7 linked regions of the Oryzias latipes genome follow. The main gene of each other region encodes a partner of the protein of the gene in region 7 in a complex. Links are inferred from orthologs where the notes say so. Each region holds a gene or a part of one and is shown on either strand. Other genes may lie near its edges.

Region 1 (4,122 bases), on a different chromosome or scaffold from region 7:
GGACCCTCAAGCTCCCGGGCCTCTGGTAGAGGACCCGAGCTTGGAGGAGAAAGCACCCACGGAGGGTGAGAGGGGCGTTTTTTTAAATTTTATATATATATATATATAGATATATAGGGAGCTGGTTTAGCTCGTGCTGGTTTGCGGCGCCTTCCGTCCGTGAAACCAGGGTTCGACTCCGGGCTGCTCCCTGTTCCCTTCTCTACTTCTGTGCCGGTCCCAAGCCCGGTTGCTTTGAGAAGGTTGCGTCAGGAAGGGCATCCGGCGTAAAACATTGCCAAGTTTACCATGCGACTCGTTCGCTGTGGCGACCCCTGATGGGAAAAGCCAAAAGGGAAACCAACCCTATCTATCTATCTATCTATCTATCTATCTATCTATCTATCTATCTATCTATCTATCTATCTATCTATCTATCTATCTATCTATCTATCTATCTATCTATCTATCTATCTATCTATCTATCTATCTATCTATCTATCTATCTATCTATCTATCTATCTATCTATCTATCTATCTATCTATCTATCTATCTATCTATCTATCTATCTATCTATCTATCTATCTATCTATCTATCTATCTATCTATCTATCTATCTATCTATCTATCTTCTGAAGATGAGACCCACCAACTCACACATTGATTCTCGCACTGTTTTCCCAACAATCTATATGTCATAAACACTTCTCAGCTTACTTACTTAGCCATTGCCTCCTTGGTAACCGCCTCGCACCATGATTCCTCTGTAGCAAACGTGAAATCTACCTGGCGTTGATACAGAGTGTGAGTGCCTGTATGGTGAGATGTCATCCACAGTTTTGGCATCTTCTCCAGCTCCAGGCTCAAATGAAACATTTACAAAACTAAAATCATTTTCTTACATTAAAGCTCGGTAATGCAAGCCTTTCAAATAAACAGCAGAATGTGAGAGTTCGTCAGCACATGTTGTCAGCAGCCTGGAGCTGATGACAACAATTCTATAATTCCATTGGGTTTTATATTATCTGATTATAAATCATTTTTAATTTCACTTATTTATTTATTTTTTGACATTTGGTCTTGTCTCATTGTTATAAAATAGTTTATTTATGTTTTTTTTCATAGTTTGTTTATTTTTTGTTGTTTACTAATTGTGTGAATGATGTTGTGTCATTTTGTAAACTGATTTTATTTATGATTATTTTATTATGACTTTATAAAGCAGATGCACTGGAATGTGATCAGAATATAGTCCGAGTCTTTTTGTTGCACTAATACATCCAGAACGCCAGGGGGCGACGTGAGGCGCGGCGAAAAGCTCGATGCCACTTCCGTTTCCTGTCGGCGGCAAAGCGTGCTTCTAGTTTGTGAAGCTAAAACGTTTTTGTGACGAAGACATAATAAACTTCTAATTTACTGTTAATCGGGTCTAAACTTAATCGAGCAAAATGGTGAGTAACTCTTCAAATATGTAATTTCACACGGCCTTTGGGTTTATTGAAGTTTGTTAAAACAAAGAATTTAAGAGAGTTAGCTCGTTTATGCTAGCCATGTTAGCATCCCATTCATAACTGGTTTACACAGCTCGTAGGGGAAAACAAACTTACACTAAAAACAAAACTTTAAAAATGAAACGGTTAGATATTCAAGTGAGCTTTTACTAAAGTGTTGTTTGTTTTGGGTAACGTGTTGCCGTATCAGAAAATGAACGTCCGTCGGAACAACACAAAACTATGACGTTCCTCTGCAGGTAGTAGTGTGGTCGAACATTATACAACAGATTAATAGAAGTATATAGGTCATTTGAATAATTAAACTGCTCCAAAACCGAATTTATGTACTGTTTCCCAATTATTCAATTTATTTTTTTAATGCAGTCCAGATTGGTTCTTCAGTCGCTCCTGTTGATGATTGGTGGTGTAAAGAAATCAGACGTGGAGACTGTCCATAACATGAATAACCCGCATACTTAAAGTTCTAAATATCTCATAGGGAAAAGCGTCATGTTTGCAGACTTGATGTAAGGTTTCAATCCCCTCTGCCGCAGAGTTTGCCCCTCAACCCAAAGCCTTTCCTGAACGGCCTGACAGGGAAACCAGTGATGGTGAAGCTGAAGTGGGGAATGGAGTACAAAGGCTACCTGGTGTCTGTGGACGGATACATGAACATGCAGGTAAAAGCAACTCTAGCTTCATTCACAACTATATCAGGGTTTATTCTGGGATTTTAAAATGCAGCTGCAACACAGAGGCAAACTACTCAAAAGTAAATGCAATTATTTATTCAATCTATTTTAAATTAGTCAAGAGTGTTTTTATCGTACTCAGTTTGTTATTATTATACATGTTTCTAAATGACCAACAGTGTTTTCAGTCTTCTATTCTGAGCATTAACTTAGACGACTGTTGGTGGAAAACCAATTAGCAGCTTTTCTTGTACCAGTTTACAATTTTTTTCAAAAATTCTAACTATCCTATCATATAACATTTTAATAAAAAAAAGTCGTTTAAAAAAAGGTCAAATGGCTCCTGTCGCATAGTGACAGCCTCTGCAAAGATGACGGAGGCTTTTTTGAGTTTGCTAAACGATCCTGTTCAGCAATTATTGATCAGGAACTTTCCGCTTCATCCAAGAGTCAAAAACAAACTCAATACAGTTTCTAAATGAAAACACTTCTGGTTTTTCACAATAAGATTATTCTGGGCACAAATAACAAAACATTTCTCTGAACCAATGAAGTCATTCAAACCAAATCATAAATGTTGTCTCACATTGTTATTTAAACAGTAAATAAGTCAAAACAACTCTAAACACTTATTTTTTTTAAGTATTTATCTGTGATGCTCATTTTTTGATCAGGGTTATCCGTAGTAATCACAACTAAAAATGTTCCAAATTTAGCTTTTTTGTCCTTCACTGAGCAATTAAGTCTGTAAGTCAGTCGCTGCAGCGGCCTGATACTGCATGAAAGTTGGCTAGCATTTCTAAATCTGGAACAACTTTTCTTACCAAAACATATCAAACCATTTTGTTCTATTGTTTAGATAGCAGCACATGTAGAATAAAAGAAATCTGTTTAAAAAATTGAGATTTCAGACCCTTAAAGCTCTCACACCAAACCGGTGTTGCTTCTCCATATTTTACATAATTCTTTGTATATTTAGATTTCATGAAATTTGACCTTTGCTAAGAAACTCTTGTTGTTTAGATGAAGGTTGTTGTTTAACTTTGTCATCTTTTATTATGAGATTTTAAAAGAAATACATTTGTTGTGTTTTACTCAGAGGAAATTACCATAAACATTTTACTTGTTTAGTTTGTAGAAAAAAAGTGATAAACGGCAGGAAAAGTACATGATTGTTGCAGAAATCCTCAGATGGAATGGGTTTTTACCAAACTGTGACACGCCACCATAACAGTAACATCTTTTCTTACGCTTTTCTAAGCTCTTCAGAAAAAAGTCTTATATCTGGACTTGTTTTTAAAATGTTTAATTTCCTGAAATTCCAAAGTAGATTCTTTGTCGAGTGAATTTTCTCAGGTTAAATATTAGTTAAAAAATGACAGAAAAATATAAGTATTTAGATGAAAACTTGGGTGCTGGAATTAAAGGTTAATCTTTTAACATTTGTAGAAAAGAACAGAAAATTTGCATTTGGTTATTTGGGAAACAGCAAAGAAATCCATAAGATCTTTTTTTTTTTTAATATTCTTGTGGCATCTTTCTCATGATGGAGAACACGTATGAAGAATGAATCAGGAGCAGAAGACAAAATGCCTTTTGATTAAGATCGTATTTGTGACGTTGAAAATATGGTGGGCGGGCAACAAGCTCCCTGCTCCGAGGGAAAGGGGGGCGGGGTTGCTCTGTACCAACAGTTTCGCCACAACAACAAACTGGGTAATCATAATTAGAACCACTGGGAAGGCTTTGACACTAGATCTTAAGATGATCAGAGCTGATCTTTAAACTAAACGTTATGAGTAGTTTACTGTTTAATCCAGCAGAGGGCGCCACAGAATGAACGTAAAATCTAACAAATCTTTAATTTGGTAGAAAAATGAAGAGAAGGTTTGAGGTTTTGACTTTTCTGTATGATGTCTGACAGCTGGCAAACACGGAGGAGTATGTGGACGGAGCG
Region 2 (4,322 bases), about 1.2 Mb from region 7:
AGAAAAAATATTAAATTTCAGAAAAATCCAAACAGAGATCTTCAATAACAAACATAAGTTTTTACAATGATGTCAAAATTCAAAGTGGATTTTCTTTATTTTATTGGAAACTTATGTGGGTTAAGAGCCAGCCCATCTAAGTATTGGACAAAAGGTTTTTACATTTGCAGTCATCAACATCCACACCATCCACCAGAGGTGGATCAGCAGTATCTGGAACATCATCAACAATAAGTTGAGATGTAATCAGTTCCAGAAACTGTGAAAAAAAACCTTATCAACCTATTTCAATCACTTATAGGAAAAGTGAAAACTAATCAAGCCAATTAAAGAGCCAAATATTACAAAGAGAAAAAAAAAGATTTATTCTTCTTTGATGCCAGTAGAACAGCTACATTTTCAGCCAACTTTGCCAAAGACACAAGAAGGTATAAAAAAAGCAAAAAACAGATGACATTTTTACCCAGTTTAAATGCTGCTCAGACATTTTATTCAAGATGGTACAAATTATGAATCAACAGCATCCAAAACCCCCTCGCGGTCTTAAACAACCCACGAGTATAAAAAAGAAAAACAACCCTAAACTTACACTTAGATTCACTTTGCGTCCACCGCGCAGTACAATTAAAAGCTGTACAAACAGTTGGGGCTCTGAAATCATCTCCGTGGTCCACCTCGCCCTCGTCCTCTTCCTCTGCCACGGCCCCGTCCTCTGCCTCGCCCCCTACCAGCAACTGAGAACAAGAAAGGCCAGATTCTTTCACCATACTCGTGAAAAAAAAAAGTTTTAATCAGCAGAACAAAACATTTCTCAAAGAAATAAACAGCAGATTTACACACCCATGATGAATATAAATACTGTTGAGGGATTTCTTATCGCAGAAAAATCCTTCTCAACTTAATACAATTTTCCAGGTAAGAATGTGCCCAAATCTCCCACCTGCTTCTCTCTTCTTGGACTTGATCTTTGGTTCAATGTCGACCAGCAAGGTGTCCAGTGGAAGACTGTCTGGCAGGATGAAGTAGCGAATGTTGTTGCCTCGGATACTCAGGGACTCCAGCTGAGTGGGTTCCCTGTTCTTTAGGGTCATTTTCACCGCCTTCAAGTGTGTGTTCATGCTTACATCAACACCTATTAAAAAGAAGAAGAAGAGGATTTTAAAAATGATTTAGTTCATTTATTCGTCTCTAAAGTGTTTGCTCTCACCTGTGATGGTGCCATGGACCTGAGTGCCATTCTTCAGTTCAATGGTAACGGTCTCATGACTGAGCTTCATCAAAAACCTGTGTGGACACGGGAGAGTAGCATACATTTACATTTACTTAACCTTTAAGAGTTGTTTTACTGCACTATACTTTACCAAACATACCATTTTGTAATCAAAAAGCAGTACCAGTATAATGTATCTACACTTCAGGGAAAGAATCATTTTCGCAAAAAAAAAAAAAACATGATTTATTGTCATCCCACATGAAACAAAAAAGGTTCACGTGTTTTATTCTTACTCAAAAGTGTATTTTTCAAAAACCTAGAATTGGCACATTCATTTTGGTTTTCTGAATCCAAAAGGCACTTTCATTTAAACGTCAATGTTTTAAAGTGACAATACCATGAAAAAAAATACACTAATAACATGCTGACCTTTAAGCAGAACTAGAACAGGAAAATGTTAATCAATAATTGATTGGTGGACTTTAACAAATTAAAAGCATCATTTTTATGTCTGTTCATATTCACAAAATACAAATGAAATAAACAAAATGTCAAACATAAAAAAAACGAGGGAAATAAACATACTGTGATATGCACCATTTCATACAAAAACTGCATTTGATCCCATACATACTGGATAAAATGGAAGACTTTAAACTCCATTTTCAGATTCACATTTTTTAATGTTTTGTATGAACATTTATGCGGACTTTTTGTTAGAAATAATTGTTGGTAACGTTTTCTGTTAATCATAAAAATATTTTGATAAATTAAATACAATAAAAAACCGCTTTATTAGAAGGTTGGCACCATTGCTGTAGAAGACTTTAATGACTAGATCCATCTTGAATGATCAATTAGCCAACTTACTGCTTTGCACAAAGAAGACGTCTCTCTCTCACAAACATTAGACAGCATTTTTGTACAACACATAAGATTTAACGTATAAAATTGTACAAAATACCCCCCCCCCCCTTTTTGAATGTATTTTTTTTTTAGTATCTAAACAAAACTCGTGTTAGCTCTTAGCTTGTTAGCTTCGGTGGATTGATACTGTTGTGTAAACTGAAAACAAAACATTTGTCTCTTAAGTTGTGGAAATTAAAAACATCCAAAAATAAATACAATTAAATAATGATAAAGCACTTTGAGGAAACGGAAACAACATCTAATAAATTAACCTCCTTTAGTACGATAGTTTTAATAATGCGGGGGGAAATTTGCAAAACCATAAATGATAACGAATCAGCCTCGATCTTTTACAAATATTGCTAAAACAAGCAGTTTAATCCTTGATTAAATAGTTAGCTCTAATGATATGTTTATATGTATTTTTTGAATGAAAACCCAGCAGCCTTGTTCCCGCCTCTCCACACAGTTCATTTGTCTATCTGAACCCATCCGGCCACACAGCCTTTATTTCATCATCCTATCTTAAACCAGTCGACACATCTACAGACCATGCAGCAAATTACCTGACTAGTTTCATGACGAACAGTAGAGAAAAGATCCTCCACCGACGAGAAAAATTACAGCGATCGAGTGAAATCACAGGCCGCTGATGTACCACCAACGTTTGTGTCGCGTTGATATGACGTCAGAAAGAGGCCACCGCTCACCGTCAATGTTGTCTTACCGCCGCCTGGTGGTGAGATGAAGAACAGTCAGTGGAAAGACAAAAATGAGTTGTTTTCTCTTACTCATTGGGTTGGTGGCATCTAATATTCCTTTACTGTCTTTATTTAATTACTTACCAATTACTTTAATTATTAACTGTTTTTCTATGTGTTTTATTGTTTTTTCCATCTAATGCTGTTTTTTTCCCCTCTCAATCTACTCAATTTTAAATGTTATGTTAATGTAAGCCCTTTGGCACCCTGATGCCATTGTATGGTGCTAAAAAATAAAGTACCAGTCATTTATTCATAGATTTCTATTTATGTATTTGGCATTTAAAATTATTAATGGAAATGCCATTTAACAGAGAAACTTTTTTCTTAAATTTTGTTCTTATTGGCCCTTTTTTTGAAGCAACAAAAACAAAACATCTCTGAGAGAACTGCTTCAACTACGAATACTGTTCTGTTTTTATTTATGATCAAAAAATTGTCATAGGAATTTATTCAGGCATTGTTTGCAGTACCGTGAAAAAAGAGAACACAGCACACTGTGGTTCACATTCAGCCAATCATAATTGACCCGATTTGGTAGAAGTAGGCTTTGTGATTGGGTGTCTTCATGTTGGCATCACATGTACATAAAAAGGCAAAGACAGTAAAGACAGAAAAGAAAAAAAAATAACGATTTACTTCCTGATTGATTTCATTTTTTTACCTTTTCACCAACTTGCTCGTATTTAAGGTTATCGATTGATAGAGCTGTTACTTCCAGTACTTGATCAATTTTCAATACGTAACTGTATCCTTTACATCCTTACAAAATACACAAAAAGCTGGGAACCATTGATCTAGGAAAGAAGACAAAAAGAACAAAGGAGCAAACTTTCAGATCTTTTTATTGAGAGTAAACTTTGCATTGATATTTCATTTAGAGTTTTGGCCAAACAGCAATACTTTTTATTTATTGAGACAAGCTGGGAATGTATCAAGTGAAACCTAAAGAAAGTGCAAATTGTTGTATTTAAAAAAAAAGAAAAAAGAAGGTATTTGTGGAGGGAGGATTTAATCAAACAGTGTGGAGAACAAATGCCACCACAACATTCACCATCAGTCCAAACGTGAAAATGCTGAAAAACCCCCAAACATGTCCTCTGCATGCTGCCTGATGAGTGTAGCACGACTGCAAAAAAACAAAAATACAAACTTCCCATTCAGGGATAATAAATGCTGTATAATAAAAAAGAAAAACACACACCAGTACAGTTCATTGAATGAAATCATGGGCAACACATCTGGCTTCAAACTCAAACCACCACCCATTTACTACAGTAGAAGAAATTCAACACCAACTTAACTCCCTTAAATTAATATTCCTCTCATTCCAGCACCAAATCGCCTCCTACCTAAAGGCAGTGATTCAGCCCCCTGTAAACATTGTGGGTGAGTATTAAGATGTGAAGATCTACAACGTTGAAGGACTGTTAGAAGTC
Region 3 (4,222 bases), on a different chromosome or scaffold from region 7:
TTGAAGTATTGGATCAAATAAATCCCTTTGTGCATTTGACCAATCGGATGGAGCCCTTTTATGTTAGATGCTCGCCTCATAGGTAGACGAGGGTCATTTGGAGTGTAAATAATTGAAACTATTTACATTTTACGAAACCCTTGTGATATCTTAGATGACCCCACCCTTACATCGACGTGTTCTCCCTACCATGACAAATGTGGATAAAGGTGGAAAGATGTCATGTAATCCATTGACACCAGTGAAGATCACAAATCATTGAAGAAAAAAGGTTTAGCGCACTGTCTAGTGGGTCTAGATGACCCAACTCCCAACGTTAAAATGTCTAGGATAGCACAAGGGTTAACCCTTGTTGTTGTAAAATTAAAATGCAGCTGTTTTTGCTATTTGTTGATATGTAGCAAGTATATTGTCATCGCAATATTGATCACCAATGTTGCAAATTTTCCTCATATCATGCCGCCCAAGTCAGGACTAAAGGGAGGAGAGCCAAACACTCACACGAAGGCAGAACTTCTGTAGATTTTTTTTATTTCAATAAAAGACACCTGAATTATCCAGACTAAGAAAGCCACAAACTTAGGCTTCCATGAGGTTTGGTATTTCTGCTGATTAGTGACAGTTGGTAGAAACGTATTCCTCCCATGAAAGCAGGATAACTTGGGTTTCTATATGTCTTTTTTTTTTAAATCTAATACGACTACAGACAAACTTTCCCTCATTTTTCCTTTGATGAGTATCTGACCTTTTCAGTTGGTGTCCAACATTTGAAAGGAATTATTTTCTGTCTAGTAAAACACATCTTTACCATTTTTCCATGAGAACAAATATACTCATTTTGCTGGAAGCCTGTTTTGAGCAAATTTCAAATTACTTTTATAAATGTACTTGTGCTTAAAAACATACAAAAACCATCTTAATATTCAGATTCTGATCCAGTGAAGACATGAGTCCTGTGCAAACTCCAGCTGCAAATGAGAGGAGGTGCAAGACCTGGACAAGCAGCTTAATTTTCCTCTCTTCATAACCAACTTTAGGGTGGATTTTGTTCAAAGGAAATCCTCCAGATCGGTTCAACATCTGCTGAAAACACCAGAAATTAAACAATCATAAAACCAAAACGGTCACTGTTTGTTTCCACTTGACTGTGAAGCAAAGTCTTTAGTCTTTGGGTAGTGGGATCCCAACAGCCATCTGCTGTCCCTGCATCTGCTGCTCGGCCTGCCTGACCTGATCCTTGGTGCAGCAGTCCTGCAGGAACACAGCAGCTAGGTTGTGCAGCCGGGGACTCTCAGCAAGAGAGAAACGCAGCATGCACTGCAAGATGCCTGGCTCTGTGAGCTGAGATTGTGAAGCTGGAGTCACAAGGTTCATAAGGGTAGTAATTGCTGATAGCACTGTCTCCTCCCTCTGGTTTGACAGACAGTTTGTGATTAAGCTGATGCCGTCACTGTCCAGGATGAGGTCCCTGCAGTCTGGGTCCATACTGAGGTTACAGAGCCCACCTGAGAAAATTTAGACCAAAAAAAATGTTTTTCACTGCATTTATGGTACAAAAAAACCCAAATGATAATCTAAAAAGATTCACCCATTCCAAACTCAATAAAGTTCTCGTTCTTCTCAGTCAACATATCCAGAAACAGGTCGGTCACTTGCAGCTGTCGCAGATACTCTGTGTTCTTTGGGTCGTAAGCAAAGTTGGCGAGGTTTGCCAAAACCTGCTCCTTTGCCTCTAACGACAACAGAACATAAATAAAAAACACAGAATCAGATTCAAATTCAATTAAATTACATATACTGGACATTAATGACTGAAACGGGAACAAGGACCAAAAGCAAGATAAATTTAATCCACCAGAGGGCGCTTTTTTACACCTCAACATTAAAAATAAGACTAAAGACCTGCATTCCTAAAAAATTATTGACGGACAATAATATGTAGTTTGATCCTTTATATATTGCATATAAAAGGCTGCAAAAGTCTATCAGCATAAATCATTAAATGGCATTTGTTAAATTTTGGTTTTATTGATTTTTAAAAAACGTCATTATGCATTTTTAATTTAGTATTCAAACATGATCGTCAGAATTACTAAAGCATAATTATTTAAAAAAAAAAATCTTAAAAGATAAATGCATTGTTTTTTTCCTGAATAATCTGTCCTGTTTCTAAGCATTCAGATTTTAAAAATTAAATTTTTGTAGTTTATATATATATATATATAATAAAATAAATAAAAATAAAAAAATAATTATATATATATATATATATATATATATATATATATATATATATATATATATATATATATATATATATATATATATATATATAAAGTGACTATCATGGATTGATATAAGTAAGACATGCTTTCATTACAATGTTTATGCATTAACAATTTAATTTCAAAGAATTTGTTGTAAACTAGCAATAATTCTTAGTTTTTCTAAATGAATCTGCGAGCTATTTGTGTTTTTACCTTCACTGTCACTATCCTGAAACTCTGTGACAAGAGCCTGTAAATATTCAAACCGGTCAGAGGTTTCGGGTGAAAAGTTCCGTTTCATCATTCAGTATCTTATATTGTGTTTTTAAGAAGACAAACGCGCGATTAAAACAAAAAAATAAAATACATTTGAAATAGTATCCTCATTTATGCATTTGGTTTCAGTAGTTCGTTCATTTTGTCCGTCTTTCAAATACGTCCGGCTTAAATTAGAATTTGGACAGTGGTTCCGGGATATTGTTTCGTGACTCTTTTTTTTTCTTCTTCTGAAGACTGGATGAACTGTTAACGCAACAGAATAACAATTAAAAATGAAACCCAAAAGTAGAATTAAGCTGTTCTTACATAAAAAAGAGCTGTCAATTTATTTTATCACTTAAAACGTTGTGATTTTTAATAATTAGGCCTATAATGTTTCGGTAATAAATCACTTTGATTTAATTTAATTAAATGATTACTTTTTGTCATAGACGATAAAAGCAAATTACTTTACGAAATTCAATTCTCAAACGGAAGTCGGTACTTCTTTGTCGACATAGACGTCAGTGCTGGACCGGAAGTTGAGGCGCTCCAACGTCCCTTCAGCTAACTAACTCACGCGCAGGAAGGTCAGCTGAAAACAAACTCACGTTTCTGTTGCTGTTTGGATTCTATGCCGTGAACCTTCTGATTTAAAGTTCTGCAGCAATGAAGCCTCACAAGCTCTCTGCAGCTAAAAGGCTCACGAAACCTATTCTGTTCGGGAGCATCATTGTTGGACTTGCCACTGTTTACATAAACAGGTGATCTATTTTCTTATTTTGTATAAAACAATAGGAAAGTTATAACGCAAATATAGACTTTAGTCTATATATTCAGAATATTTTTTTATGTGTTTAACGTTGGAGATTGTTGTCCTTGCGTAATGACGCTGACGTTTGATTGTAATCAAGTTTAAGAAAAACACTGAAAACATGTCTGTACTGTCCTTAAGTACAAATTAACATTGGAGCCAAACCATAATTTCATTAACAGGAAATTTTGTCTTTAAATATCTTTAGTAATAGGAAAAATACAACTATTTTTATTTTGTAGCCCTTTTTATTTCCAAAGCAAGGCATCACAGACACATACTCTTTCTTTGCACCACAAAAAATACTAACATTTAATTATATAAGTGTAAGACTGCAGGTAACAGCATTTTTAATTTATAATTAGTAATCATTTGTAATGAGACACTAATGTTTTTAATTAGTAGATTATTTAGCATAATTTCAGTTTTTGACCAGTATCTTCTACAACCTGGAGTGCAATTACTATTTAAAATAAATTAAAGAAATCTAAATAAATGTCTTTGTAAAATATATCTTTAAAATAAGAATCTTTTTTGTAAAACATATTGTGTTATTGGAAGTGGGGGGCTTTTTCACTTCACAAATTTCTCTTTTCTACATTGGTGTCACGTTTTTGACACTTAGTGCAGCTGCTTTTATCAGATTACATTTTTTAAATTTTTTTTAAATTTTTTTGTGTGAAATCTGCTCTGGTTTAGTTGGTGTACTGCTGCAGAGATTCCTTTTCTAAAAAAAAGTTTTAAAAAGAATTTGAGCTGCAGATTGTGCTTTTCCAAACCAGGTTACTGTCTTAAAGAGAGCCCATTTTTGCATTTTGTGGTTTAAAATGCAGCTTATTTTTGTGTCCTGTGTTTGTATTTTTCTGTCTTGCAGACACAGGTT
Region 4 (4,176 bases), on a different chromosome or scaffold from region 7:
AAAAAAAAAAAAAACAGCATTCAGGAAGCAGGGTGTACCAAGAATAAGGAAAAGTGGACACACCATTTATCAGCATTGGTTAGGAACCACTCACCTTGTGCTTTCAGAATGGCCGCTTTGCCTCTTCCTGCTCCAGAACCCTGGTTCTTGTTCTTCATACTCTTTAACATTGGAGCGTTCTTTAACATGTCTGGTAAGATCAGAAAGCGGATCTTGCTGCCACGAATGTACACTTGTTCCAGCTGGGCAACCCGCCCGTCACGATAGGTTACTGTGATGTTGGACATCTGTTGGGACATAGAAATAAATGGTTCCGGTCTTAGATTCGTAAAATGGCTTGATACACGTTTACAGTGTTCAATGGAATGCAGGTTAACATTTTAAGTTATCTGTTAAACTTGGCAATGCAGTTCTCTATTTGAAAACACATTTGTAGATACTTCATTTAATCCCTTAAAATAATTTCTAACAACCTTTTTGATTTGTCATTTGATTAATAAGAAATCTACAATTATTAACAGAATATACGTTTTAGAATATTTAGCGTTTTGTTAAAGCCTTCACACTTATCTTTAGAGTACTTTTAAGACACACTGAGCTTTATCCACCAAAATTTCTGCTTTTAAATGAAATAAACAGATTTGGAGTCTATTAAACTTTTACTGCACTAATGAAGCTTGAAAAGACTATCAGCATTGACAGGATGTTTGGGAAATATATTTAGTTACAGTACTCAATACTTTAAGAAAAATGGCTTTAAATATTTCAAGGACAAATGTGCATATATGACCAGATAACTATACAGATTTTTTTAGGGGGGGGGGGTGAATTGGGTCAGTTAATAGAAAGAACACAACTTAAATTTACAAAATAAAATAAAATTGTTATTCCAGATTTGTTTGTTACAGATGTGCAACCAAAACTAGAGACCCAAAAAAAACAACAAAAAAACAAAGGTCATAAAGGCAACCTGTCCCAAAACTTTAAAATAATCCAACATAATTTCCTTTTTCCACACAGGGCCGTTTGGTTTCTTAGTGCTGTGTTTCTATTTACTTCCAACGGTAATGATAAATCATTTATGGTTTTTGTTTTTCCCTACAGGTCACTGACCTGATGCATATTAGTAAAAGGGAGTATGTTTTGTTGACTGTAAAAGCACCATTGATCTCATTGAGTAATTAAGTCACTACATCAATCAATCATACGTTACACACGTGTGGTTGGCTGAGATTTTGAGGGACAAAGAAACCGGGAGAGATTTTTCTTCGAAGAGGAGTAACCGATTTGTCTTTCGCTACAAACATGTTGAACAACTGTTTTTTAAAAAAAAAAAAGAAAGAAAGAAAGTATAACATGAGTTTGTCTCACCGCAATTGTTTTACTAAAATACTACATTCTCAACAAACCTACTCAAATAGTTCTACATCACCTGCTTGTTATAATTGGTAGATTCTAGACTTATTCCTGTGAAAGCAAAAAAAACAAATGTGCAAGTCTAAATAAGAGTTGGTGCAATAAACTGCATTAAAATACCTTTGGCATTTTTGTTTCCAAAAAGTATGTGAAATAAAAGGGGGGGGGGGCAGCCAACAATAAAATGTCCATTAAAAAAACATTCTTGTGTTCTTTACACATTTAAAATGTTCTTCTCAAGTGTGGTACAGTGAGTTGAACTCTAAATAGAAATTTACGGCATGCTTTTTTTTTTTGGGGGGGGGACGTTACTCCATACAAACCTGGCAGTTCATGTTGTCTTCAGCCTCGATCAGTTTGCCCCTGTAAACCTCTCCAGTGTTGGTTTCACAGGTCACAATGTGTCCCTCTGCTTCATGCAGGACCTTGATTGGTACGCCAATGGACATTTTGGAAACGGTCTTTCTAGGCTATTAAATTAAAAAAAAAGACAAAACATACGGTAAAGGGCACTGAAACATACAGTATTATCACAAAACCTGACGTACGGTATTGTCTTTGTTTACAGAAGGCTACTGAAAGTCTACAACATGCAATTCATTCATCCAATTTTATGATTATTATGTTTGCATGTGTCTGGCTTGGAAGTAATATTTACTGTTAGAACATACTTAAGACTTGTTTTGTGCTGTAAATAAGGTAATTTACACCCACAAAAAAAAACGTACAAAAAAGGCACTTAAGTATAACAATGTTTCCATTATCATTAGCTAAGCTACCTCGTTAGTGATTTATTTCTTGTACTGTTTATCAAGACGGTATTATTTCTACGTAGAGAAATCAAGTGCTGCAGAAAACTCTTCAGTTTTGGATTACACAGTTTAATCAGGTAAATGTTCGGGATTACTTTTAAAACGTAGTAACGCTAATGGCTAGCTTAGCTAGCCACGTTAGCTAACTAGCCACCAACTACTGGCCTCAAGCGAAACAAAACATTAATTAAAAACTGTGGGAAGTAAACCACCACAATATATTTAACGTTAATGCTTCACACCCAACATTGTTGGGACTCAAACGTGCAAATTATTTTAGACACAAGCTAAATATCAGGCATGGATGGAGCGATGGACATATTCGAAACTTAGCAAATGGGAGGCAATGTAGACAAAAAGCGATAATTCTGAATCACATTCACAGCTAAATACCAACCACAATATAATACTTGCTAGCTTTAGTAGCTAGGGTTTAAAGTCTTACTTCAACTCCCTTTGAATTCTTGAATTGTTGTTCTTTTTAGCGGCTCAGCAACGTGGGCTAGTCGTTGAGCTTGGCGTTTGAGCCTTTTTTCCGCTTACCCACAATGCACCAACAAAGCGTTTGTTTCCTGTGGCGCTTTTCGCCGTGCATTATGGGACATGTAGTTGATTCTGATTACCTAAACCAGGTGTGTTAGGTCAAACAGAATGTAGACTCACTTGAGTCAGCCAGTTACCAGAAAGATGGTTAAGGAGAAACAACAACAACAATAATAATAATAAGTGTTATTATTTTTTGTACTATTATTATTCTTTTTTAGTAGTATTGGAAGTAGTAGTAATAGTAAATAAAAACTAATTTTCATCAAAAGGCCTCAGAGAGGTCCAGGAATACCAATCATTATAGGACATTGGACTTTCAAACAAAAATAGAAATCATGAAACGTTAACAGATTAAAAATGTACACAATAAAAAATGACTTGTTTATTTGTCCTGAATTAGATTAACATGAATTTAATTTGATGATTACTCATTGGAAAAAATCAACTATAATGGAACACTGGATAGATATTTGTAAAAATATTTTATTGATTCCTTGCAGTGGTGCATGTTTTTTTTCCATAATCCTCCTCACTATGTTTTTTCTCTTTTCCTTATTTGTTTTATGTGAAAGATTTGAATCCCGAACACGTGTATAGCTGGCACATATGCTTGTCAAAACATCCCAGCAAGAAGAGATTATGAAAATGAAACGACTCAATCAATTCAAATGGATTTTTTTCATCGACCACAGAGAGCTATAAACATTTACTCTACATAGTTTTTGAATGAACAGACTTTACGTATCATATACATACCCTTGCGTGTTTATTTATGTGGACTAGTCTTTTTTACCACTTCAGTGAGACGCATAAACATTGCTTAATGCGGGGCTTTCTCACGCTGGAAGAGGTTTCTAATGAGGAAAGACAAAGCATAATGGGATAATAAAAGACATCACCAAATGAACCATCATTTGATTTCCATTGCAACAGGGTCATTGACTGGCGTCAGCAGACAGGCTACTCTGTAAACACCTGTACCTGTGCAGCGTGTGGTCATGTGTATCTACTTTACGTGTCCATGAGGGTTTCAGGCGTTTAATGCATGCTAACCTGACTCTGAACGTAGTTCCAGTCCAGCCATGAGCAGTGACATTTGCAGAGATCAAACAAGCACTTGTTTTGGGTGGATGCTAACAGGCCTGTTTACACTGATGCCTTTGAATCATGTCACTTAGATGTTGATCTGGGTTGTCAGCTTTTGTTGCCAGGCAATTATCCAATTGCTGATCAAGCAAGCAAAAGGATTTACTTAGAGGTAAACACTTTGTAGGGGAAAGTGCACACCTATAGATTGTACTCAGACTACATTCGTTTCCTCAGCTGTTGCAGACAGCCGTTACAACAAATAGCACGGATCAAAAGAAAGCTGTATGTCATGTGGAGTGTGTAAAACTTCTCA
Region 5 (3,536 bases), on a different chromosome or scaffold from region 7:
CATGGCCGTGAGCGTCTCGAACCCACCCACGATTCTGCAGAGAAGACGACCAATCAGAGCAGCCCCAAAGCTGGATCTGTGGGAGATCAGCCTCTGGAAAGGTACCTTCCAAATATGGTGTGCTTCCTGTCCAGGTGGGGGCAGGACCGGAATGTGATGAAGCTGAGGAGGAGGAGGAGACGTTGAAGAAGATCTGCTCCAGGCTGCAGCCCAGAGAACATGAAGAACATAGATTCAGTTTCGTGTTTGGGTTTCCTCGGTTCCAGGGACCAAGGTTCCTTACAACTGAGACTTGTTGGTGTTCGGACCCGAGTTGGCCATGCTGAGGACCCCCCGGCCCGCGTGGGACAGGTTGGGCCGGAACTCGTCCTTGAAGGGTTTTCCCCAGAAGGATTCGCCACCTGAGCAGAACCGAACCCACAGAGACTTCAGAACCAAACCTGCCCTAAAGGAAGAGATCCAGCAGCCGTGTGCACGGACCACACAGGGTTCCAGCTAAGAAACATTATGGGATGTCCAGCTGGAGATGGAGCTTCCCTCTCTTTGTGGAGAGTTTTGTGCGTTTCTGCGGCAGCAACAGTCTCAGGTTTGGATCAATGAGGATCTTCATCTGATCCCAAATGCATTTTATACTAAAGACAACAGAAATACGTTTCCGTCTCATTAGAGACGAGCCTCCAGGAGAAGAGGAACGCTGGTCCTAGAACCCGCCGCCGCCGTTCAAAGAGACCAAGATGGGTGTCATGTGGTCGGGTCTCACACATATAGCGACAAACATGTGGCAGTCGTCGGCATAAGGTGGAAGTTCACCTTATGAAACAGCATTCCCAGTGGCAGCAAGTAGATAGAAGATAATGGGCCCGGTCCCCCCCCCACAGACAGACAGACTGCCCCCACCCCAAGTGCCCCTCGGTATCTTTGGCAGCCCTGAGTGCCTCTCTCAGGTCCCCACAGGTTCAGCATCTCTAAAGAGGACCTTCAGTCATTCAGAGCCGCTCCGCCACTGAAAGCGGTCCAAGCTCCGCCTACCTGTGCCGGTGCCGGTCGGGTCTCCTCCCTGGATCTGGAAAGAGAAAGGGTCAGCTTTAGAAGATGGAGATGCTGTGTTCCATCACCCGTTCTCTGGATGTGTGCAGAGCTCCTGCTCCACGTGGAGACGTTCAGGTCTGAGTGCAGAAAGGTTGACGGGTGGATCGTAGTGAAGGAGGAGCAGAGTCCATGTTCCTCCCCTCACCTACAGACTCTGGGTCGGACCAGGAGGAGATCCTGGATGCAAACGTCTGGAAGGGGGGAGGCAGTGGCTGCTCCTTAGAGGGAGGGTGAGGAGCTCAGCAAAGAGCCGCTGCTCAGGGAAACTCCCCCAGGAAGGAGACCCAGAGGAACCGTGTTCCTCAGCTTGCCTGGACTTTGGGGTTCCCTGACTGATCTGGAGAAAGGCTCTGGATGGAGGACTGGAGACCAGCGGTTAGCCTGCTGCCCCCCGACTCCTCATGAGGAGGAGGAGGACGGAGGGAGCTTGGAAAAGGAGCTGGACTTGATTTGGATCTGAACGGGTTTGGGTTGACGTTTCCTCTTTAATCAAAGTACCCAAATATGTGAATATCTATTGCAGCTTTTGATCAGCAGACGCTCCAAATATTCAAACCTTTGGGACCCGGCCTGTTCAGCAGAAGCAGACCTCCCCTCTAGGGCTGCACGATATGAGGAAAACTCGTGATATGCGATATTGGTGATTAAAATCGCGATAACGATATAATTTGCGGTATATAAACAAATAGCCAAACAACCAAAAACATCATTTCCATTTCACTGCAACAGTATAAAAATTATACTCCAAATGACCCTTGTCGACATAGGAGGCAAACATCAAACATAAAAGTGCTCATCTGATTGATCAAAAACGTAAACGGGTCCTTCTGATTGGTTAAATGCATAAAGGGATTACTTGCATTTGTTCACCATTTCAGGCTGCCATGAGTTTGTTTTTGCAAATTTGAGGTAACCATTTATTGCGATTTTTGCCGTCTTTTGCGGTATGCATGTTGCACAGCTTGATGTTGCGATGACGATAAATTTGCGGTATATTGTGCAGGCCTTCTCCCCTCATTTGCTAAAAGCGTCTCTTCCTCACCATGAAATTCCGGATGGACCTGTGAAAGGCGGTCCCGTCGTAGTAACCCTTTTTGCACAGACGGATGAAATTCTCTCCAGCTTTGGGAACCTGGTTTGGGGGGGGGGGGGGGGGGGGAGACAAACACTGACGGTCAGACACGAACACATTCCAGGTCTGATGCTGCACCACTTCCATCCTACACTCCCAAAAACCAGCCGAACGCTCCACGTCGTCATGACGACGGTATTTAAAAGAAAGGAAACTGTGTTTCTTGTTTTATGGTTCTGATGTTTTTAGTACCAACAGAGAAAAAAGATCAAATAAAAAACGACTACGGCATCAATAAAGGCTGCATGGGTTTAAACGCAGCGTCTGACGTCACCTTATCGCAGTGCAGCTCCAGGTTCAGGTCTCCCAGGTTGGTGTGCAGGCGGACGTAGCCTTTCTTCTTCACGTACTGGTACCGCACAGCATCATCGGCGATGGCGTCTGCCACAAAGACAACGGTAAAAAAACGAACACCTGAAACGTGCAGACAACAGCGACCGCTGCACACATGGGCCGCTCCAAAGGCCTCAGACATATTGGGGTTCAGTCGTTCCTCTCTGAGCAGATTGGGTTCAGACAGTGGAAACGCAGGGCGAACTGGATCTCAGTCCGATTGGAAATAACCGAGACCACCTCAAACGATGGGTCCCAGTGGACCCTGATCCTTCTGGATCAGGGTCCACTTTGGTGTATTCAGACTAGTTCTGGTTTACTTTACGTGAACCAAGTGCGTCCAGTCTGAATCCAGCCTTAGAGGAGCGTCAGGACTGGACCAGCCGGTTCTGCTTCAGAGAGAAATCCAGTGGACCCAAAAAACATTGCCTTATTAGAATTCATAGAAAGTCTAATGTACCGCCTCAGGATACAATGACATAAACAATAATAATAGCTTTTATTCCCTTTCATTTATCTTTTTAAAGTCAGTGAACACGGCTGCATCCCAGCAGAAGCAGCAGACAAAACCAGGTCAGCGGCTGACGTGCAGAGGAGAACCCACAGGAACAGATCCTAGCTTACCGGCTTCATGGATGGTTGAAGGAGTCATGGCTGTGGAGGTGAAGGAGGCGGAGACTCGGCCTGTTGAGTAGTGGGCCTGGACGGGGACACAGGCAAATGTGTCATGTTTACTTTCTGCATGGACTCAATGATTTCTAAACCAATAGACATGCTGTTCTCTCAAAGTACAGACGGAAAAATGCAGAAAAACAAAGAAGGAGAAGCTCACATCAAAACCCATCTGCTGTAAACAGATTTAGAACCTGTCAAAGACCGGCTTCCATCACAACAAAGAACAAACAGGCAAACAACAAACAAACTAACAACCACCAAACAACAAGCTAACAGGCAAACTACAAACAACCAAACAACAAGCTAA
Region 6 (3,995 bases), on a different chromosome or scaffold from region 7:
CTTCTGTCACAGAATAGATCTCTCTTCCTTCTGTAAAAAACACTGGTAAATGTTTCCACTGTAGACGATTTAAATGTTTAGGAGCTGAGAGCTGTGAGTACTGAATGTAAATTAACCATTAGTAGAAATGAAAGTGCAGCTTTTTCGTCGAGGGAGACAGTCTAATGGCAGACTAAGAGATGCAGTTGCTGACTTATTAATGAGGTATTATTGATTTTATGTTTTCTTTTCTTTTACATTAAAAAGCACTAATAGTTTTTGTGGCCTTTTCCTCACTGCAAAAGCAGCAAATTGATTGTGTTCTTGTTTGCTTGTTAATAAAAGAAGAGCTCTGTGAATTTGCTTGTAATCATTTCATTTATGATTGAACAAATATAATTGTTTTGTGTGTTTGTTTGTTTTTGTTGTTTTTTTTAAATCATAAATCAAAGAACACTGTTGACAGATAAATACCAGTATTTGGAAATGTCACATTTTCTCAATGGAGCCTAAATGCATTGTCATTCATGGAAATCATACTAGACCAGCAGCTGGTTATTACTGTCTTAGATAAACAATAACCCATGACATTTAATCTGTCTCTACATATTGGACATGACATGTAACAGGGACAATATTTAGGTCTTTTTGTCTCTGTTATAAAAAGCAAGTAGTGACGGCCTATATTTTTGAAAAAGTTTTAGTGTAAAAAAAATGATCGACAAATAAAAAAATAAGAACAAGAATTGAAATCGTATGCAAAGAAGAGTAAAGACTTTTACAATTCAAAAACATTGCTCTCCTGTCTTTCTAGGCATCGGTGTATGACCGACTAAATTTGTGGGTCAATTAGGGAAATCAGGCAATTTTAGCCTTTTTGGTGACAGTCATTATTTGTATGCCAGTCACTGGGTCCCACCACAGACACAGTCTTGCAGCAGATTGTGGCCCAGTAGTTATCATTTTTAACTTCTTTGGAGTCAACTTTATCTTCAATGTATTTATTTATGCATAACAGTAACTTTTTTGTTATAATAATAATAATAATAATAATAATAATAATAATAATAATAATAATAATAATAATAACAATAATAACAATAATAATAATAATAATAATAATAATAATAATAATAATAATAATAATAATAATAATAATAATAATACAGAAACGCGTCTTCTTCCTCGTCGTCTACATTGACCCTTGACGCGACCCGTAGTTTCCCACAATACAAAGATGGCAGCGGTCGGTGGTGGAACCGGACCCGAGCTTTCTAAAGCTGAGTACTTAAAGCGGTATTTATCAGCTGACGACAACCATGGTGCATCTAAAGGAAAAGGCAAGAAGAAACGAAAAAAGCTTCCTGAAACAAGGTGAGTACCGAAATACTGCGCCGTTTGGCTTTCTGTTAGCATCCAAGCTAGTTTCCTTATGCTAAGCTATTTTTGATTTGGAACTTTGTTTCTATGAGTTTAATCGTTTTTATTTTGTGTTACTTCGTTGTTTTTATCTAGACTTAAAATAGTAGACGATGATATTGATTGGAGACAAATGGTCCAACAGCAGCCGGATGTCGAAGAGGATGAAGAGGAAGCTCCGGTGGTGAGTTAGCTAGCAGCCTTGCGTTAGCATTTCCCCCGCAGTACGGTCTACTATGTTTAACTTTTACACGCATGAAAGTCTGATGGCGATATTTGATTTGATGATAATAAAATGTATGTCTTTCTTTTTTGTTAACATTATTGAAATGTAAATCCAGACGTAACACAGGAATTTCATCTGACGTGAGATTGAATTGATCTGCTTTAATGCAGGATAATCGATGCAAGATAGATTTGACACATTGGTTTGAATGAAATATGTGGGAAACTTGCATTGTGTGTGAAGCAGTCAACACAGATGTTTGAACAGAGTAAATAATGATTTGATTTGGTCTATGTTATGTACATTAAAGTTTTAAAGCCAAGGAAACCTAAATTTTGTACTTTGATTTACCTTCTCAGATTGCAGAGTTCATCGATGAGCGGCCAGAAGAGGTGAAACAGATGGAGGCCTTTAGGACCAGTAACAGATGGAAAATAGTTGGGGGTAACTATAAAAGCAGTATATAAATTTGGCTTCTTTTAAATTATGTTGTTTTTCATATTAACTGTGTTGTTCTGTAGCGGATGAAGACGAAGACAAAACAATTGACGAAGAAAATGAGCAGGAGGAGCCTTTAACATCTAAAAAAAGTCGGCATGACTCACCAGAGCTGTCATCGAAAAGTGGGAGACATGGTTCCCCTTTCAAAAAACCAAGACACGACTCTCCAGACATTTCTCCTCCTAGGAGAGGACGCCATGACTCTCCGGATAAATCCCCTCCCAGGAGAGGACGCCATGACTCTCCGGATAAATCCCCTCCCAGGAGAGGACGCCATGACTCTCCGGATAAATCTCCTCCTAGGAGAGGACGCCATGACTCTCCGGATAAATCTCCTCCTAGCAGAGGACGCCATGACTCTCCCAGCAAGTCTCCTTCAAGGCAACATTTAAGGAAGTCTGGGAAAGTTAAAAGTAAAGGTGAGTTTTATTTTACAGTTAAGATTTTCTTTCTTGCTTTTATACAGAACAATGCTCATTTTGCACAAGTCACTGAAAAAGCTGAAAACGGCATACCAATGCCATTTAAGCATTGAATAAGCTTAAAGCTGGAACCTCTTAGATTTTTGGGTTATAGTAGTTACTAAAAATATCAATAGTTATATTGACACAATAAAATGTTTATGTAAAACACATTTATTTTTTTCTATTTCATATTAGGATTACTAGTTTTGCTCTCTGCACTCTAATATATATAGTGCAAACATTCTCTTTGATTCTCAGAGTCTTCTCCCACTAGAAGGAAGCCCAGCTCATCGTTACACGGTAAACCAAGGTCGCCAGATGATCGGCGGTCTCCTTTAGCTCATAAGACTAAGGTTAGGCTGGATTCAGACTCCGATCAATCTCCTCCACGGAAAAAGCAATCGAAGCGAGAAGCTTCCGACTCTGACCAGTCTCCCCCTCGGAGACGCTCCAGAACAAGGCAGAGATCCGATTCCGACCAGTCTCCACCAAGAAAGCACTCGAGGAGTGGAAAGGACTCGGATGGAGATCTGTCACCACCACGGAGACCTGGCCAGTCTCATGTGAGGGATCTGCGCTGTTCAGGGATTCGTGTGAAACCTAATTTGCAGCACAAACCCCATCTAATATTTTTGTGTGTTTTTCAGGACCACAGGATGCTTTCCGGAGGAAAGGCTGGTTTGGTATCTGTGGAGATTCTAAGGGAAGAGCAAAAGGAAAACCGACGCAGAGAAAAAAAGAATCAACCTCTTGAAGGTTGGCCTTGCTTTTGTTTTTCAGTTTTACTTTTAAAAAAAAAGAGAGTTTGAAACAACCCTTTTCTTATCGTATAACTTTAGACTTTCTATATTTCTGAAGTACCGGTATATGAAAGTGTTTTTATACTATTTATACTATTTACGCATCAGATGAATCTCGTAATGCGGAGACGGTCTTCCGAGACAAAAGTGGCAAAAGGAGGGATTTGACCTCAGAAAGGGAGGAGCAGAAGAGAAAAGCAGGAGAAAAGGCTGCAAAAGATGAAAAATATGCCCAGTGGGGTAAAGGGTAAATCCACAAAACCATACCAAGTCACTGAAAATGCTACTTCCACCACATGTAAGAAGACAAGTTATTGTTTGTGTTTAGGCTGGCTCAGAATCAGATGGAGCAGCAGAAGCTGGAGGACGCCCTGCTGGAAGCCCAGAAGCCCTTGGCCCGTCACCGTGACGACGAAGATCTGGACCGCATGTTGAGGGAGCAGGAGAGGGACGGGGATCCCATGGCTGCCATGCTTCGGCGGAAAAAGGAAAAAAGCTCAAAAACACAAGGTTTGAAACATTCTACAAGTTTTTGTACTTTTTTTTTTTTTTTTACTCTTCTGATGGAAAAATTTGGGCATTAGTACTTCAAGTACAGCAAATATC
Region 7 (3,867 bases):
CTGCGGCTTGAAGAGGAAGGCAGAGAAGACGACTATCAAGATGAACAGGATGAGATCAACGAACTGATGGAAATTGTCCTCAAAAAAATGGTGAGATGTTGCCCTCCCATCTGCCTTTGTCACATTTGGATCGATGTTGATTGTAAGAATTTTGTCTTGATGTGTGCAGATTTATTTTGGTAACATGCCAACATTGCTTCCTGTGATTCCACAGGACCACGACAAAGACGGCAGGCTGTCTTTTCAAGATTTTGAGAAGTCTGTAAAAAAGGAGGAGCTACTCCTTGAAGCCTTTGGAAGCTGCCTGCCCAATTTCAGGGTAATCACAACCAAAAGTTGCTGAGCTTAAAAATATTGTAAGGATCTATTTAACTTAAATCTTTCTTTTTAGACAAAGAAGAAGTTTGAGCAGCAAGTACTGGAAAAGCAGCAAGATGAATAATAAAATATGAAGTGCAAGCGGTGTTCAACTTTGAGACTTTCATGAAAGAAAAAGCCAAAATGTTTTTCTTAAAGTACAATTTTATTTTAAGTTGAGCCTTTCAACGTTAGTTTTGATAAATATGGACAGTCGTCACTAAAACAGAATGGATCATATCCGACGGCGTGGCTTAACCTTCTTCTCCGCTGGTTTGAGGTCTGGGACCGATGTCACCTAGGAATGAATGAAAAGAATGAGACTGAAATGCACCAATATGGCATCATGTCAAGCTCTAATTCTCATTAAAAAAAAAATAAAAGACTACCTGCTTCATTGTGCCCCTGATCAGATTTACTGTTGTGTTTAGCGACTGATCATTCATGTCCAGCTTATGTGGTTCTGGTAGTTTTGGTCCAATCAAAGACGGTTCTCCAGAATCAGGCACTGGCTGTTTTGTGGCCTCCTCCATTTTGCGGCGTTTGTTCTTTTCCAAATGTGCAGTTCTTGGAACAAGCTTGACGGAAGAATCTGGGTTGGAGGCCAATTTTTTTTCGGAATTAGGGTCTTTACTGAAAGAGCTAAAGTTCTGGACTTTCTGCTGTTTTACGTCAGGAGGCACTGCGTCATGTAAAGTCCCCATTTGATCTTCTGTTGGTTCGTTCCCACGATAATCCTGATGAAAGTATTCCTGCGGGGGTAAAGGCAGTAGAGGAAATCCGGAACAATGGCTGAAGCTTGAAGTCTCGCCTGTTTTGTCACTATTGAAGATTGGATTATTTGTAGCAAAAACTCTGCTTGATGTGGGAACGCTTTCTGAAGACGTAGATTCCATGTGTACCGCATCCGCTACTCTTTCTTTTGCTGTATAAACATGAAACAGATAAATGACACTCATCAAATTCTTTATCTATACTTTAAACTTACAAAACAACAAAAAACATTTGATTTCAGATAAAAATACACAAAAAAAATTTTTTAATCACAGTTTTTTTTCATTGAACTTTTAAAAAACAATTACCTAAGAAAAAAAAGATTCAGTGCTTTTCAACACCGTATATCGTCAAAATGCGATAATACCTCTACTCCGAGCCACTTTCAGAACATAACTTCTCCTGTCCTGCAGCTTTAACTTGGTGTCTTCCACAGACTCGTACTCCGGGACGTAACACACATGCAGCACGCCGCCATAGAAACTCTTCTCATCCATGTTACGTTTCGCCGCTCTGGAACATCAAATATCAACCTGAATGACATATTTTTCAGCATTTCTGGTTTAGGGCAGTACAGTTAAGGTGCCCGCCATACCTAGCACTTGTCAGTTTTTGAAACTTGACCAGGTAGACTTCTGTGAACTCCTCAGCAGGATACTCGTCCAGCGGTCTGTATTCCTCCACTGTTCCATAAAGAGCACACAACTGGATCAGCTCCTCCATCACTCCAATAGCGGGGACTCCCTGGATCATCACATAACGGGACTCTAAATTTATTGTGTAGACCTGGCAGATACAAAGGCATGGTTATTAGTATATGTGAGGCTGTTGACGTGACCAATAAAAATCAATTAACTTAAAGACATAATCATCAGATCTGATGTACTTTCCTGCAACTCAGAAATCCAGTCTACTGTATTAGAAATTTGATTTTTATGGTTTATTAATTACAATTTTTTCGAAATGACTCAAACTTTTTACCATGTCTTTTATTTAATTTTATTTATTTATTTTTGCCAAAACGACAGTTTTATTTGTTTTTTTAAGACCTGCCGTTGGTCTTTTATTTATCACTTGCTGTGTGACTACAATTTATACTTTTTTCTTCCAGTTAAAAAAAAAGATTTTAAAATTTTCTCTTACATTCTTAAATGTAAAAATAAAACCAACTTACACATAATTATTAGCTCGTCGCTTGCGTCAACACAGACCGTCTTTGCTACAAACATTAGAAACGTTTTTCTTACCTTGACTGCTTTAGCTCTCCTTCCATCTCTATATTTGGGTCTAGAAAAACATGCGTTGTGTTGTTCGTGATGTTTGTAGACTTCTGGGACCTTCCAACAACCAGGTTTACTGTTGACATTTGCCGCCATGTTTGCTGAAACGCGTTTCCGCTTTGGTGGCATTTCAAAACAAGAGTTCATTCCGTTGTGCAGAGCACTCAACGTGTAGTGTTGACGACGTGGCAGTCTTATTTTGAAATGATCGATTCCATCGACAATCGACTGTTTTGTCTGGATCAGTTCTCTCATTCATCGAAATGTTTGTTGCACTTTGGCCGTTAGCGCACCAGCATGTTAAGCACTTTAAATGCTAAAATAGCGATGTAAACGTCATGTTTAGCAACCAGGGAATTCAACCAGTATGTGTTGTTTTTAACAACACTAAAAACTGCTTTATTCAACTCTCTTCAAAGCTGATATCGCACCTTTCTCTGAATGAGGTAAAGTATTAGCTAATTACTTAACATCGCTTCAGTTTTGTTGCATAAAGTTTACTGAATAATGACTGCTTTTGTGTTTTACACATTGCTGGTTTGTTTCTCTGACATTACAAGGGGACCTTTGGTTGCATTTAAGGTTTTAGTTTTTCTTAATTAAAACTTATAACAAAAGCAGAGCATTTTTTTATTATCACGTGTACTTAATTAGTATTAGGAAGTAATGCAAGGCAACAAAAAATGAATTGTTGGTAAAAATAGAAATTGGGCATCAAATACTGTCCTCATTCAGGGGTCTTTAGTCTAAAGGAAACTGCATTGTTTTGATTTTTAACACATTAACTCCTAGAAATAGTTTAATTTAGAAAAGGTTGATTATTATAATAACTAATGTGATCATCTCAATATTTCTATATTTTGCTACCACACCTGTGGAATATTTTTGCAATTTTTTAATTTAATTCTTCTGCTGAGCATAAAATCTGAAATGTATGTAATGATACAAAATGTACAAGAATAAAAACTAATAAAGGTATCACAAGTATCTAACATTCATAAAGTTGGAATCATAATTTCGACATCCGCTTTAAGAGACCATTCTGTGTCTTATTTCATCGTCTCTCTTTGGCCGGTCCGTTTTAGAATCAGGCTTTGGAGCTGTCTTGGGACGGCGGGTCGACAGTGTTCCTTAGCTGGTGTCCCATCAGAGCCTCCTTAGGAGCAGACAGCCACAGAGTGGAGTTGTCTCGGCAGCTTGGAGAAAAGCTCGGTTTGACTGATGGAGAACAGGTAAAGACCTTGGTTTCTTCCTTTAGGTCATCAACTGGGACGAACACTGCCTGTGCAACAGTCTCTTAACATTGGTCTGACATTGAGTGGTTTTCACAGTGTTTTCTCAGACCATGCCATCAAGTCTCTTCGCTGAATCAGGTGTTTGTGGAGCCACTGTCATCTGATGACTGGGAGATTTTGGTGAGTGAAATATTGACTTTTGTGTAATTTGTCTAATTGCA

Evidence for each region.
Region 1: rbm48 (region 7) and snrpf share a complex: the UniProt entries of both Homo sapiens proteins name them as parts of the minor spliceosome. The link is inferred for Oryzias latipes from reciprocal best matches to the Homo sapiens genes RBM48 and SNRPF.
Region 2: rbm48 (region 7) and snrpd1 share a complex: the UniProt entries of both Homo sapiens proteins name them as parts of the minor spliceosome. The link is inferred for Oryzias latipes from reciprocal best matches to the Homo sapiens genes RBM48 and SNRPD1.
Region 3: rbm48 (region 7) and armc7 share a complex: the UniProt entries of both Homo sapiens proteins name them as parts of the minor spliceosome. The link is inferred for Oryzias latipes from reciprocal best matches to the Homo sapiens genes RBM48 and ARMC7.
Region 4: rbm48 (region 7) and snrpd3 share a complex: the UniProt entries of both Homo sapiens proteins name them as parts of the minor spliceosome. The link is inferred for Oryzias latipes from reciprocal best matches to the Homo sapiens genes RBM48 and SNRPD3.
Region 5: rbm48 (region 7) and ppil2 share a complex: the UniProt entries of both Homo sapiens proteins name them as parts of the minor spliceosome. The link is inferred for Oryzias latipes from reciprocal best matches to the Homo sapiens genes RBM48 and PPIL2.
Region 6: rbm48 (region 7) and bud13 share a complex: the UniProt entries of both Homo sapiens proteins name them as parts of the minor spliceosome. The link is inferred for Oryzias latipes from reciprocal best matches to the Homo sapiens genes RBM48 and BUD13.

Annotation. Positions count from the first base shown.
Region 1 is NC_019881.2:20,375,296-20,379,417, reverse strand, and holds the start of snrpf (small nuclear ribonucleoprotein F), read left to right. Parts: upstream 1-1,293; 5' UTR 1,294-1,428; coding exon 1,429-1,431; intron 1,432-2,027; coding exon 2,028-2,153; intron 2,154-4,089; coding exon 4,090-4,122. UniProt on the Homo sapiens protein: Plays a role in pre-mRNA splicing as a core component of the spliceosomal U1, U2, U4 and U5 small nuclear ribonucleoproteins (snRNPs), the building blocks of the spliceosome.
Region 2 is NC_019869.2:22,965,473-22,969,794, forward strand, and holds snrpd1 (small nuclear ribonucleoprotein Sm D1), read right to left. Parts: upstream 2,835-4,322; 5' UTR 2,703-2,834; coding exon 2,689-2,702; intron 1,285-2,688; coding exon 1,208-1,284; intron 1,133-1,207; coding exon 941-1,132; intron 735-940; coding exon 658-734; 3' UTR 86-657; downstream 1-85. UniProt on the Homo sapiens protein: Plays a role in pre-mRNA splicing as a core component of the spliceosomal U1, U2, U4 and U5 small nuclear ribonucleoproteins (snRNPs), the building blocks of the spliceosome.
Region 3 is NC_019877.2:19,372,990-19,377,211, reverse strand, and holds armc7 (armadillo repeat-containing protein 7), read right to left. Parts: upstream 2,819-4,222; 5' UTR 2,572-2,818; coding exon 2,481-2,571; intron 1,733-2,480; coding exon 1,589-1,732; intron 1,506-1,588; coding exon 1,162-1,505; 3' UTR 515-1,161; downstream 1-514. UniProt on the Homo sapiens protein: As a component of the minor spliceosome, involved in the splicing of U12-type introns in pre-mRNAs.
Region 4 is NC_019870.2:16,128,906-16,133,081, forward strand, and holds the start of snrpd3 (small nuclear ribonucleoprotein Sm D3), read right to left. Parts: upstream 2,804-4,176; 5' UTR 2,674-2,803; intron 1,887-2,673; 5' UTR 1,866-1,886; coding exon 1,740-1,865; intron 288-1,739; coding exon 95-287; intron 1-94. UniProt on the Homo sapiens protein: Plays a role in pre-mRNA splicing as a core component of the spliceosomal U1, U2, U4 and U5 small nuclear ribonucleoproteins (snRNPs), the building blocks of the spliceosome.
Region 5 is NC_019867.2:622,323-625,858, reverse strand, and holds part of ppil2 (peptidyl-prolyl cis-trans isomerase-like 2), read right to left. Parts: intron 3,255-3,536; coding exon 3,179-3,254; intron 2,603-3,178; coding exon 2,496-2,602; intron 2,222-2,495; coding exon 2,132-2,221; intron 1,064-2,131; coding exon 1,030-1,063; intron 402-1,029; coding exon 284-401; intron 163-283; coding exon 106-162; intron 35-105; coding exon 1-34. UniProt on the Homo sapiens protein: Has a ubiquitin-protein ligase activity acting as an E3 ubiquitin protein ligase or as an ubiquitin-ubiquitin ligase promoting elongation of ubiquitin chains on substrates.
Region 6 is NC_019872.2:13,070,031-13,074,025, reverse strand, and holds the start of bud13 (BUD13 homolog), read left to right. Parts: upstream 1-1,187; 5' UTR 1,188-1,216; coding exon 1,217-1,353; intron 1,354-1,494; coding exon 1,495-1,582; intron 1,583-1,983; coding exon 1,984-2,068; intron 2,069-2,145; coding exon 2,146-2,544; intron 2,545-2,847; coding exon 2,848-3,152; intron 3,153-3,236; coding exon 3,237-3,345; intron 3,346-3,497; coding exon 3,498-3,636; intron 3,637-3,717; coding exon 3,718-3,899; intron 3,900-3,995. UniProt on the Homo sapiens protein: Involved in pre-mRNA splicing as component of the activated spliceosome. As a component of the minor spliceosome, involved in the splicing of U12-type introns in pre-mRNAs.
Region 7 is NC_019869.2:21,761,704-21,765,570, reverse strand, and holds rbm48 (RNA-binding protein 48), read right to left. Parts: upstream 2,556-3,867; 5' UTR 2,541-2,555; coding exon 2,379-2,540; intron 1,918-2,378; coding exon 1,727-1,917; intron 1,645-1,726; coding exon 1,499-1,644; intron 1,283-1,498; coding exon 747-1,282; intron 741-746; exon of another isoform or gene 656-740; coding exon 593-655; 3' UTR 503-592; downstream 1-502. Other genes in the region: efcab1 (EF-hand calcium-binding domain-containing protein 1), read left to right, coding at 1-90, 215-319, 392-442; pex1 (peroxisome biogenesis factor 1), read left to right, coding at 2,750-2,857, 3,497-3,643, 3,743-3,826. UniProt on the Homo sapiens protein: As a component of the minor spliceosome, involved in the splicing of U12-type introns in pre-mRNAs.